3 linked regions of the Drosophila melanogaster genome follow. The protein of the gene in region 2 purifies or fractionates together with the protein of the main gene of each other region. This does not show direct contact. Each region holds a gene or a part of one and is shown on either strand. Other genes may lie near its edges.

Evidence for each region. The genes of interacting proteins can lie anywhere in the genome.
Region 1: the proteins of CG3008 (region 2) and Gp210 purify together in Drosophila melanogaster (affinity purification with mass spectrometry, with the first as the bait; one large-scale study listed by BioGRID). This does not show direct contact.
Region 3: the proteins of CG3008 (region 2) and RpS10b purify together in Drosophila melanogaster (affinity purification with mass spectrometry, with the first as the bait; one large-scale study listed by BioGRID). This does not show direct contact.

What each region holds. Positions count from the first base shown.
Region 1 is NT_033778.4:5,759,301-5,763,923, reverse strand, and holds the start of Gp210 (glycoprotein 210 kDa), read right to left. Parts: upstream 3,063-4,623; 5' UTR 3,017-3,062; coding exon 2,862-3,016; intron 2,791-2,861; coding exon 1,731-2,790; intron 1,331-1,730; coding exon 1-1,330. Other genes in the region: CG7791 (uncharacterized protein), read left to right, coding at 3,612-3,746, 3,811-4,340, 4,394-4,623.
Region 2 is NT_033779.5:4,881,322-4,886,173, forward strand, and holds CG3008 (uncharacterized protein), read left to right. Parts: upstream 1-1,976; 5' UTR 1,977-2,266; intron 2,267-2,324; 5' UTR 2,325-2,325; coding exon 2,326-3,018; intron 3,019-3,069; coding exon 3,070-4,188; 3' UTR 4,189-4,348; downstream 4,349-4,852. Other genes in the region: Cf2 (chorion factor 2), read right to left, coding at 1-1,071.
Region 3 is NC_004354.4:19,596,456-19,600,368, reverse strand, and holds RpS10b (ribosomal protein S10b), read right to left. Parts: upstream 2,330-3,913; 5' UTR 2,292-2,329; exon of another isoform or gene 2,221-2,291; 5' UTR 2,164-2,220; intron 1,945-2,163; exon of another isoform or gene 1,937-1,944; 5' UTR 1,936-1,936; coding exon 1,453-1,935; 3' UTR 563-1,452; downstream 1-562.

The DNA of each region.
Region 1 (4,623 bases), on a different chromosome or scaffold from region 2:
CGTGTTGGGCAAGTAGCTTGTCGTTATACTGGGACACCGTTCCCTTAATGCGGAAGTTGGTCGCCACTTCACTCAATGTCAAGACAAGAAGGTCGCGACTCGGCAGGGTAACTCCATGATTGAACTCCAATTCAGAAATCTGACGGTGCGGGATAATGTTCTTCTGGTATCGCTCTTCACCAGCGGAAAACTCCCAGTCAAGCCCTAGTGAGCTGATATTCATGAGCCTACGATTATTTGAATCGTGTACCTCGATTTCAATTTCAATTTTATTCTCTGGATCTTTCAGGAATAATAACGAGGTGCGCTTCTCCAGGGGGCAGGAGTCACGCAGGTTATGGCGAGCGTAGAGCTTTAGGAAGCGAGGACGGACGCAATGCACCTTTGTGGTCACCTCCGATTGATATAAGGCAAAGCTTGAGGTGGGAAGGCTATTATGCACTCGGTAAGTGAACTGCGTCTCGCCCAGCTCACGACACAGCACGGTGAACGCAGTTATCAAATTTTGCGTGTCGAACTCTAATTTAGACACTTTTAATATTTTTTCATCAAAAGCGGTAGATTGTATGATTTCTGCTGCCACCGTAAAACTGCGCTGCGGCCCATTAGCATAAATTATATTACGGGATGACCCAACGGGAAGAACAACCTCGTTTTCTATTGGATTTAGCACGACTAATGGCTCAAAGACATACAAATCAATAATGTCGTAAAGCACTTTGTCCATATACATATAGGAAACGCGTAGCGAGGTGGTGCCCACAGCGGTGGCCCGCAACCGAAGCACATGACACGCCTCGTGAGCAGCCTCCGCCCCTTCATTACCCTCCAACTGCAGAATGGGCTGGCTGAAGTCTAGTTGGAAGTGAAGATTATCACAACTTGTGTAGGGAACCTCTGAATTATTTATTCGAGCGTATACGCCCACATGCACGTGTACGAAGTCCTTCAGGGCGGTCTCAAAGTTGCTCCGCGTGATCTGAAGGCGCTCAGGGGGGAGAAAGTAGATATGTGCCACACGGGAAATTTTCTGGTTCTTGGATAGAGCCACCTTGACGGTGGTGTGGGCGGTCAGTTTACCACCATCTTTCAGTACCTCCTGGTTCACGTAAGCGGATTTCACGTCGCGGATTTCAGTTGTGGCTTGGCCCTGGGTGTCAATCTGGATCACCTGTGGATTTCCGGAGAACCAAGCGTAGTTGTTATCTCCGCCAGATGCATGAAACTGCAGCTTTAAAGGTTTTAAGCTGTTAGGATCGTATGGCAACACCACCTTGGTTGGCGCTAACTGAAGCTCCTCAAATATCTGAAGCTCAGCTTGTACCGACAGCTGCAACATAAATAACAATATTATAAGAACTTTTAATATAACAAATAGACTTTTGGACTATTATTTTGAGTTAACCTTCTATAAAAAATGCAAACAATTTAAAATTCTACATATCACTGCGGTTGACTTTATAAAAATAGATATTTATTTGACTTATTTAATATTTTATTTACTTCGTTATAAAAGAGGTGGGCAAACGAAATGAATTATTTTTAGCGGTCGGCAAGCAATAAAAACAAATTTTAATTAATGGCTTTTTTTTTGTTAGATAATATTTAGTTTTTAGAAGTGGACAAACGCCTAATTATATGATAATACCGCGATTCTTTTTAATGGGTTATATCTATGCACATATTTTCTAGAGTAATATATATAACAAACATTTTAGTTATAAACTTACGTCTTTATATGAGCCATACACCTGAGTGATTCCCTCTTTTTTTGCTTGACCGAAAAGGCGGCTTCCGTTGCGAGTACGATCAACAATGGCGAAAAAGGATTCATCCACCTCTGAGTTGATTGAATATTTAGTGCCCATTGTGATCTTCTGACCGTCGGCAGCAAAAAGATCCAATGCTATAGCGTGATGCTCGCCTTGTACTGTCACCCAATTGAGATGGGGCAACAGACTGATGGACAACCTATTCGGATATGCCACAGTCAATAGAGCGCTGGGTCCCTTTTGGACCTCATCAGAGTCCGCCATGTTGCGGTCTCGCAGAAAGACCTGGGTGCGACCCAGAGCCGCTCCGGTGGCACTGTTTCCACGAAGGTATGCAATGCTGGAGTCCTCCACCTCCAAATAATACTGATTGTTGTCTATAACGTGCAGTCGGTCCATCTTCAGCTGCAGAATGCGAAATGAGACGGAGTCTCCAGCCATTATGGTGACTTCGGAAGGCTCAATTATAATGTTTGCAAGAACGCTGATGTACACCTCAACTGGCCGCACATGCTTGTACTCGGCCTGAGGCATGGCGATGGTCACCTTGGCGGTGCCAGTATTAATGCCCTCAAGGAGGATCATGTGCCCCTTCTTGCCGTCGGCTTCAAACTTTTCAATGGTGGGCGGTACAGTGTGGTACGGACTGTCCGTGAACGTGAGGTATCGCATTGCGGTGGGCCTTTTGCTACCGGGTTCCAAAATCTCCCAGTCAAACTCGATTCCCTCCAAGGTAAAAAACTCGTTGCCTTGTTCATCAAAGGCGTGCAGCTCGAACATGGCGGGCGCCTCCTCCAGGTAAAGTTGTCGAGTGGCGGTGCGCACATTTAGACTAGCAATGACATCCACAATCACGTCGGAACGCAGCGTCTCGCCCGTTTGTACTTCCTCGGCGAAGACGATTGCAGTGTTCCTCCGACGATCGTGAGTGCGGACTGTCACCACCGCCTGGTATGCACATTCGCTGAAGCCCTTGTAAATGGGCATGACAGATATCAAGTCCTGGCGTGAGGACGACCTGCAAGTTCAGCATAGTAGTAGTAGTAGTTCTAGAAGTTATAAAATTATATCTGTATGACGCCGATTTACCATTTGTAGCAGTTCGGCTCGTCGACTTCCAGGGTAAAGTTTATTGCCTTGTCTTCGAATATTGGTAGTAACACACGCGGGTGGTTCAACCTAGCTGCCTCAGAAGCATGATTTCTTACCAAAATCAGCAAAATCATGCAAAGAATAGAATCCATCGTGCCGGCAAACGAGCCACGCGCGGAACGAGATGCTGGATAGGGATGGACAAGAATGACAATATCGCAAATATCAACTATCGATAAATTATATTATACGGGTTTCAAAAATACCAATATATCACTTATTATATGTGATGTAAATCATAATCAGTTGTATATCTGTACCTCAAGTTAAACGAAGACTTACATATTACGTATAACAGCTTTTTTTATAATTATATTTATTTACAAATAAAATTGGGTTTTTGCTTGTAAATATTTATCAAATAACATCATTTTCGGGATACCCTGCAACTCAGTCTTAATAGGAATATTATTCTTTTTGTATTCCTAAAATAGGACTCGCTTAAGCTTAATTAACATTTATTTTTCTGTAATATCTAAACTAATCCTAGTTAAACTGGTGACAGCTTTAGAAAAATACTGTTAACACAACTCAACTCTATACAGCTGCACATGCAGTTAATTGATGTCTGTAATCGAAAAGCAAAACGTCTGGCAACATCGGGTTGACTTCACCGGCAGCTGACTTCTCATGTAACCATTTCGTTATAAACAAGCAATTTAAGTGATCCGAAATTGGGGAAGTGCCATGCTAGAATTTGGTCGAACATTGCTGCGCTGGAGAACGCGGCACTGCAGTCGCAGAGTCTCTACGTGGACGCCGCTGGCTACGGCGTTTAATGCGCCACCGGCTAGGCGGATCAACTTCACCCACGACGATGTTGTAAGACCCAAAGTCTGTAAAACGCAGGACCTCTGACTAGGCATACATGGCCTTTTTCCCGTAGGGCCTCTTTGGCATGCCCGAACTGCGGAGTTTTGAGGGCTTCTATCTCCTTCGAGACAATGTGGAAAGCCGGACGCAGGAGCTGATCTCCGAGGCCACCTCCGATCAACGACGTCGAAAGATGGTCGACATTTTTGACGAGCTTTCTGACTCATTGTGCAAGGTGGCGGACCTCGCAGAGTTTGTTCGTATCGCGCATCCTCAGAGCAGATACACCCAAGCAGCAGAGCAGGCCTGCATAAGCATTTGCGGAATGGTCGAGAGCCTTAACACGCATAAGCCCATCTATAAGGCTTTAAGCCACGTAGTGGATCATGGAGATAAGCTGCCCACCAGCGAAGTGGACAGACATGTGTCGCGTTTGTTCCTTTTCGACTTTGAGCAGTGTGGAATTCACTTGCCCGAGGAGGAACGTATGCGTGTTGTGCGGCTAAATGACTATATTCTTCAGCTCGGCCAGAAGTTCATGAGTGGAGCTGTGCAACCTAGTGTTCTTCCACGCAGCCAAGTCCCTGAGTCCTTTCGTAACTAGTAAGTTCACATATAACACTATCTGGGCTATACTAAAGATTTTTTTTTGTCAGCTTTCCTACCTCTGGGGAAAATGTAATTATCACTGGACTGTGCACAAACGCAGAGAACGTTCAGATGCGGGAGGCTGCCTACCGGTTGTACCTGCAGCCGTCAAAGAGCCAGGAGGATCTTCTCCGAGACCTACTGCTTTGCCGGCATGAACTGGCGCGTAGCTGTGGCTTCGATACATATGCACACCGGGCACTCAAAGGTAGCACGATGGAGAAACCCGAAGTGGTAC
Region 2 (4,852 bases):
AGGTACCGTTTGTGTGCCGACTAGCACACCCGAACTGGCCGGAGCGGGTACACCGGGATTGGCTTGTATGGCATAGACAGGCACAGAGTTGACAACATCACCACTGTCGCTCAGGCTGAGTGGCTCCTCCTTGATAATGACCTGCGGATGCGACACAATGGCGCCACCGTTGGCGTTCTTGTTTAGCTTGACGGTGAGTGGTGGCACCTTCAGCGCCACCTGGTCGCCGGCGAGATCCTGATCCTGCTGGTGATGGTGCACCTGCTGCTGTTGCGCCTGCTCCTGCATTTCACGCTGCTGCTGCTCCAGCAGTTCCTGCTGCTGCTGCTGCTGCTGTTGTTGTTGTTGGTGCTGTTGCTGATGGTGGTGCTCCGCCTGCAGTTGCTGCTGATGGTGCTGCTCCTCGGGCGTCAGTCTCATATCACGGGGCGCCATTGCCGGCAGCTGATCGTCGGGCGTCACCGCCGCCTCCTGCTGTTCCATAAAGCCCTGCTGTCCGGCAGCCAGCATGGCGGTGGTGCAAATGGAGCCGCACTGCGTGCATTTGTACTCGTTGGGCTGCTGGGTGGCCGAGTGGATGCCATAGATGCTGCACATAAGGCAGCGGGACAGGAAGGCGGGCGTCTGATGGGCCAGCCGATGGTGTTCGTCTAAATCGACGGCGTTGCCAAACTTTTCATCACAATTGAAGCAGGGGTGGCTGAGCTTGGGGTGCTGCTGTGCCTGCGGATGACCGCCGTCCAGCGTGGCAATGGCTCCCTGGGCGTTCAGCGTGATCCCGTGGCACAGCTGCATGTGATCCGCGACGTGCTGCGGTCGCTCAAACTGCTGGTGACACATGGGACAATAGTGCGGCGACACGTGCACATTGGGGTCCATGCTGAGATTGGGCAGAAAGGCTGTCTTCAGGGTGTCCATGTTGGCTATCACGGTGGCCACTTGGTGCGTGGGCGTGGCTGGGGCGGCGGTGGAGGTGGTGGCTGAGGAGGGGGGCGGCGGCGGCGGCGCTGGCGACTGATCCTCGGGGCGTGGCAGACGCTGTTCCTGTGGATTCGTGGTGGACTTTATCATTTCACTTCCGCTGGCGCTTGGAGAGTAATCGCTTCTTTTGGTTTGACTTGGTTAGTGGGCAGGAGCAGGAGCAATTGGCGGTTAAAGAAGGCGATATGCGCTGCAGGAGTAATAAAAATCATAATTACAGGCGGCCACAAGCGAATGTATGTGCAAGCGTGTGGGTGTGTGCTGGTGTGTATGTGTGTGTGTGTTCTTTGAGTCTGGCAGTCGCAAATTAGCAGGAACGAATTCGGAAATCACAAATTCACGAAATCTTCAGTCCCGATCTTCTGCATTTGACCCCCAATGTCCCCCCACAGCGGCTGGCGAAGAAGAGGAAGAAGGAGGAGGAGATGAAGAAGAAGAGGAGCGGGCAGCAGCAGCGGCAATGCGTTCGAATTGAAAATTTTTTTCAGTCTGTCATATTCTAAATTCGGAATTCTATTTTGATTGCTTTTTCGGTCTCTCGTTTTGTTTCCATCTTTCTTACCAGCGCACTGAATATTTACTGCACCTTGTTGTTGCTGGCGGCCGTTCGATTTTGTTGTATTTGGAGCGGGGGTCACGAAAATGCTGGGGCGGCCAATCAGTTTAATAACATTTTCTCCTTTGTACAACAAATAAACGTATATTAACAAAAAAAATTTTTCACTTTTATTATTATTTTTGGCGAAAAATGTACAACTACAACAAAAAGTATCGATTACTGGCATCGAAACTACGATGGCAACGTCGCTCTAGAACTGACGATGTGGCAACGCCCTTGCTAACGATATATTTTTCTGCCTTTTCCTAAAATATGACAAATAAAACGTTTTCTAAGTATGCAAATTAAAGTATAATATAACTTTAACTTAACGTTATAAAAATTGTAAGCAAAGCTTTCGATATTAGGAGTTCTTCTATTTCCAAATTTATCGGGTCTATCGTTCTGCGATAGCTCGATACTTTCATAAGCTGATAATTTCACAACAATTGGAAAAAGGATTGTTTGGAGAAATACAATAGAAATATTATTGCAACAAGGGTTGCAATTGGCTTCCCCTTATATTGGTCATCTATAGTGCCAAAACTGTCACTTGTCCTCCACCGCGGACATATCAGAGTCCACCTGCAACCCGCCGTTGGTCAGGATTTGGACAGAGGCTTGTTTGTAAACTGCCACAATTACCACCGATATAGAACTCGATCTTCTCAAGCCAAGTTCCAATAGGTTTGTGGAATCACAGCACCAAATTGTGATCTATATTGACTCTCTTTCGATTGTGCAGAATGTCGTCGCCATGGGTTAAGACCAGCGAGCCTGTGCAGCAGGTGAATCTGGCGGATATAATGTCGGAGCAATATGCCCACAAGTTGCACGACAAGGAGCTGCAGCGCCACACGGAGAAGCTGAAAAGACCGGACGAACAGATAGCACCCGTTTGGGGGTCGCAAGCCTCATCCCCGCCAGCGCCCAATGCGCAGAGTATCCAAAGTGATGCGGAGGATTGGGAGGATTACTCTGCGCTCCTCAATGACGAAGGAAACGTAGCGGAGGACATTCAGCTGCCGGAAGACAGCGATGCAGTTATTGCCCAGCTGTTGCAGTCCCAGTTCGATCACGAGTACAATGAGGAATTGCGTCGTATCGAGCGGCAGCAAAACAAGCAATCCAAGGTCACTGTTACCCTCAATAAGTTCCTACGTGATGGCGATGCAGAGTTCTTGCACGACACCGCGGAAGATGACTACGAAGAGGATGAATTGGAGCAACAGAAGCACGACTGGGATCGGTTCGAGGACAATGAACGGCAGCTTGACTCCATACCTCGCTGCGGCTTTAAAGTTAACAAGGAGGGCGAGATGATAACAAAGCACGATCCGCAGCTGTGCGCCGTGCGTAATGCCCAGCGCGTGATGTCCTTTCCGCCGGAGTTTCCCACCGGTGATGCTGCCGGTTTCGACATGAAGCTCTCCAATAAGGTTAGAAGCGGTCAGTTTTAAGCGATAATAAGACTTAAACGTACCTTTCAGGTGTTTAACCAACTACGAGCCCATTCTCGACGAGGCCGCTCCGACAAGCACGAGAAAGTGGCCACCGCGGAGATGGGATTGGATGCGGGTACACGTTTGCTGCTGTACAAGCTGATCAATAACCAAATACTGGAGCAGATCAACGGCATTATATCCACGGGCAAGGAGGCGGTCATCTTGCACGCCAATTCCGATGCGAACTATACGGGCAGCAACGAGCATGGTCACCAGAGTGGTGTGCTCGTTCCACCGCAGCTTTTGCCCCGGGAGTGTGCCATTAAAATCTTTAAAACCACGCTCAACGAGTTCAAGCAGCGCGATAGATACATCAAGGATGACTATCGGTTCAAGGATCGCTTTAGCAAACAAAACCACCGAGTGATTATCAATATGTGGGCCGAGAAGGAGATGCATAATCTGATGAGGATGCAAGCCATTGGCCTAAACGTTCCAGACGTTGTTGTGCTGAAGAAGCACGTGCTGGTAATGCGGTTCATCGGTGACAATCATAACGCTGCGCCCAAGTTAAAGGATGCCCGTCTGAGCGACGCGGAGCTGAGTTGCGCCTACGAAGAGATTGTGGCCGCGATGCACAAGTTGTACAATGAGGCGAAGCTGGTGCACGCCGATATGAGCGAATATAACATACTCTGGTTCGAGGGCAAGTGCTGGTTTATTGACGTGGCCCAGAGTGTCGAACCGAAGCATCCCAGTGCCCTGGAGTTCCTGATGAGGGATTGCGGCAACATTGTTAACTTCTTTGAACGACGCGGCCTGCCCAACATTTACACCAAGGAGCAGTTGTTCGAGTTTATTACGGGTCTCAATTCAGAGGTCCACACCGCCGCTCAGCTGGAGCAGATCCACACGCGTGGCGCTTCCATTAGCCAAGCCACTGCTCCGAATCAGGAGGAGTGCCCCGACGAACTGAAACCCTTGGAGTATCCCTTTGAGCTGGCCTGGGAAAAATCACAACAAGATCGCGCTGCTCAAAAGGCTCTGCAGCAAGCGCAGGATAATAACGATAACAAAACCGACACGGATAAGGATCAAGAGACCGATGACAATGAGAATGATAGTGACGACAAGGAAAAGATTAACAAAACTGCCAACCATTGAAACTTCTAAAGTGTGGACTCATTTAGTTTAGTTTTAAATTGATATTAACAGTTTGGTCACAGAGATTCCATAGTAAAAGATATGATGCTTGTAGTCAAGTAACTTGACTATAAAATATCCCTCGAAAAAAAGAATAAATTGTTTTGTTTTTCCACCCATGGAAACCTTTGCTTTGTATTTTAGAACTTATTTAAAATATTTTTTGGGTAACCTTCAACTCTTTTTTTTGTAGTGCGCTCCAATTTGCATTTGTTGCACTCATGTTGTTACGGATATTTCTCCTAATGGCTTTGATCTTGAATCGTTATTAATCAATTAAGATTAATGCAAATGTCAGGCTTCAATGGCCACACGCCCATCTTCCGAATCAGCTAACCCGACAATTGAACTCATTTGGTGCGCAGTTTTCCCCATTAATTGGGAGATTTGTCGGTTCAATCGAATCTCCGATCAGATGATTACGTATAAAAATGCCATACCCAGTGCACACGATTCTGGGTTGTCGATCTGACGGAACTAGTACATCTATCTGTCCGAGAATAGTCTGGATGCGTTTGCGAAACTGGACTTTGCAAAATATTGTAGTTCAAGTGTGACGTCAGAATCCAGTTGCGAGCAGTTCAGTGCGTATACATATATGTATATTGTAAATGATTCTGTTGCG
Region 3 (3,913 bases), on a different chromosome or scaffold from region 2:
TACATTTTTCTAAACGAGTATTGCACATTGTAAATAATGAAACCACAATTATTTTGTATACAAAGCGATTTTTTTTTTATTGTTGCAAGCGAATACACTTTCCAGCGCAGTGCGCCCCAGTTGCGATGCGCAGAACGTTTTTGCGGGAAACATAGGTCCATAACCAGCTTCTTTTAACCATGTTAAGGCAATGATAGTCTCCAGGTATCTTCGGATTTATGCTAAATGGAGGAATGTACATAACCTTAACTACCCAAACCATGTTTCTACTCCGATGTGCCATGGCATAAACCTAGAATAATGCCATTCGTCGTATATTGTTGTAGTTCTTTTGGTCGGCCTAAATAAATAATCTAAGCGATTCGAATTCTTTATGGTCCGAGCATAGCAGCATACTTACTTGTTTACATAAAATATTAGTTGAAAGTAATCAACGTTAAATGGAGAAGCACATAAGCTTTTAAATAATATTAGTAGACACATAAGATTTAACTAAAACCTAACTTTGGGAAATGTGAAACTAGTGTATTTATAAAATTAGAATTAATATATAAGTAAAAGGCAGCTACAGAACAACAAAAGGATGCTCGTGAGCAAAAGAAGACTATTTAAGTAAACTAGTTATTTAACTAATTGTGAACGTTTAAGTAGCGTGAACAAATAAAACGAAATTGAGCATTTAAGTTACGTTCCTCCACATACGAAGATTTTGGCTTATCGTTTAGAAAATATACCATTTCCTTTGATGGTAAATCAAATTTAATCTATGTCCTTGCAATTCATGCCGTTTTTGTTATGAGCAATTGGATTCTAATGTTATTTAAATATTTGAATGTAGTATTTCGAGCCAACTGGTTTATTCCAACCCAAGTCTACTATGTTTTGGCACACAGCTATAAACGAATGCGATGAATTTCTGCACATATTTTTATAATAAAGAGCTACAAATCGACAAATATCCAAATCTATATACAACAATCTTTTGAAATTACCAAAATTGAATGCATGTATTGTATTCAAAAAAACGTATTTACGCTAGAATTCCTTCTTTCCTCTCGACAGAACCTCGCAAAATAAACTGAATTATCTGCAAAATCCTACTTCTAAAGTTATCTGAAGAGCTTCTTGCAAAAATGTGTTGGGTTAGCAGTTTCAGTTTGGCCGGGCATCGGGTTTACTATACTATTTAGCCACGCTTGGGATCTGAATCCACGTCCGATTTGCACACCACAATCACTGGACCAAACAACAAAAACAAAACAAAAAAAAAAAATAGAGGGGAGCACGGAATTTCACTTGCGTTTGCTTTATAATTGATCGTCATATCATAAAACACACACACATTTTTCAGATGTTGGTTTCTTCTATTGTTAAGGGTATGGATCTTCAGTTGAACATTTTACTGAGTAATTTTTTATACATTAGAAAAAAAAACTGAAGCGCCTGGGTTGTTTAGTTGCGCGATCCGCGTCCGAATCCGCCACGGAACTCGACCTCTCCGGCACCGGGTCCAACATCGCCCTTCTTGTCCACTCCGCTGCCGCCGGGAGCACGTCGGTAGGCGGAGCGATCCTCTCCGGTCTTGGAGGCGTCACCGGGTCCGCGTGGGCCGCCAACGGCGGGACGGGGACGGACGGTCTCCGAGCGGGCAGGGCGCTTCAGCGTCGAGGGCACGATCTCGGGCGGCAGGTGGAGGTAGCTGCGCAGCTCCTCGATTCCCTCGTTGGTGAGGTACCAGTAGTAGTGGCGCCAGGCGAACTGCTCCTTAACCAGTCCGCGCGAGTGGAGCGACTGCATCGCCTTGATCACGTGCAAGTTGGGGATCGACTCCAGTTCCGGGTGCTTCTGGGCATGGAAATCCTTCTTGGCCACGATCACGCCCTCCTTGAAGAGGTACTCGTAGATCGCGACACGATGGGCCTTTGGCATAAACATTCTGCACAAACAACAAAAAAAAAAAATAGCAATTAGATTCGGTTCATTGCCAGGATATATCTACAGATCATCCATGTGGTATCCAATTCACACATTGTTTATTGAGTCTGAAAGACTCGCTTCTTTGTCCACACAAAAAAAAAATGTACACATGCATTCGGGAACAACATTGGGCGCATATTTTCCCGGTGCGGCCGCTTGAAAATGGGGGTTTTCGGCGACAATTACCTGGATTGATTTGCAAACACAAAGTTACACGAACGCGAACGTATCGTAATACTCCCGCTGCAAGTAAAAAAGAGAATTGGAGGTATTTAATAGGGAGTTTTGCTTAAAAATTCGCGGAGCACACGCACTCACCGGAAACGTGAAGACGAAAAGAAAGGGAAACGGAAGGGATGACAAGAAGAAGACGGTGAGCAGTGTGGCCGGACCTTTCGATATGTGTCAGCAATCGATGACGCCGGCAATATATCGATATTATCTTAAGACATAATCCACGAGTAAATTTCGCGATTAAATCAAGTAACTACACTTGCGACACATTTTGACTTAGAATTTTTTGAATTACTTAAAACTGACCACCTTATATTCGTTCTCATAGCTTGTCTTGTATACTTGGGCATTCGATAGCGACAATGGTGCCGGACTTTTTAGTATCGATATCCTTATCGATAAGCCTTAGGCCAAGTATTAAGTTAATACACACACCGCATTTTGCACATGCATCTTATCGATACGTCTTTGTTGTCATAAAATCGCACTTATTTATTGCCAATAAGTATTAGTGATGGCACAGTTAAGCGTTTTTGTTTCGGTAATTCAAGTGTTTCATTTGTAATTATAAAAAAAATCACTCATTTTGTTTTATGAAAAAACAATTAAAATGGATCTTATTATATAAGCTTATTTATTTATTATTTATTTATTATTATTATTTAGTTATTTATTATTTCATTTATAAAACATTAATTTGAACTCAAAACAAAAAAAGTTTTACGACGAACCAGGTAAAACTTTCAATTTTGAGAGTCTCTCAGCAAAGGCCCTCCGCCCTCCCTTCTAGTCAACGAATGAGTAGCCATCTGTTCTCTGAGAATCTGTAGGTTTAACACTAAAGCTGTAAAACAATACAGCTCCCGGGATAGACAAACTTTAGGAATTAGCATTATTATGCAGCAGGATAATGGGCGCCACCGCCCAGACCCCAAGTTTCGACTGGGGCAGCCACAGGTTAGTGGATATCGGGGCGAAAAGTAATCTGTTAGTAGACGCGAAGGTTCTAACTTTTTCCCATCGAAAATTCCGAAGAGGATAAGAAGCAGCACACAGAAAATGTATTAATTAAAATAGAACCGTACAGTTAGGTTAAGCGCACAGTTGGGTTAAGTTAGGTTACACAGTGAGAAGTTCCTGATGAAGTGAACATATACAAATTTGAAATATATATGTACATAGTATATAAAATAATGCTGGATGAACCCTTCCTGACCTAAACCTACATCGGAAAAATTCAAAATCTCCGAACCGCCATTCTGCACTGAGAAAAATTAGGTTATATTTTTAAATCATATATTAGAAGGCTTTACCATAAGTTACCATAAGTTTATGGGATAATTTAAATAAATAATTTGGTTCTCCTCTAAAATATATTTAGCAACCTGTGTCGCATCCATTTAATGACAATTTTCTTGAATACCTTTTATAAAATTTTTCTTGAATTTACGGCAAAAACTAACACCTACTGCCTTATATTTCCTCATCTTACTTTAGTTTGCATTCATTTATTTACTTATTTAATTTATTACTTACCTATTATTACTTATAAATATTGCTATTAATTATTAGTTACCACCATGAATGCAATAAAAAAATGAATTTCTAAAAACTTAAATACTGAACTCGGCTGATGTTTCATCGGACATAGGGTACCAAAGGGGCCGCTAGAGCCATGCCTTTAATGAAAGTGGTCATAGAT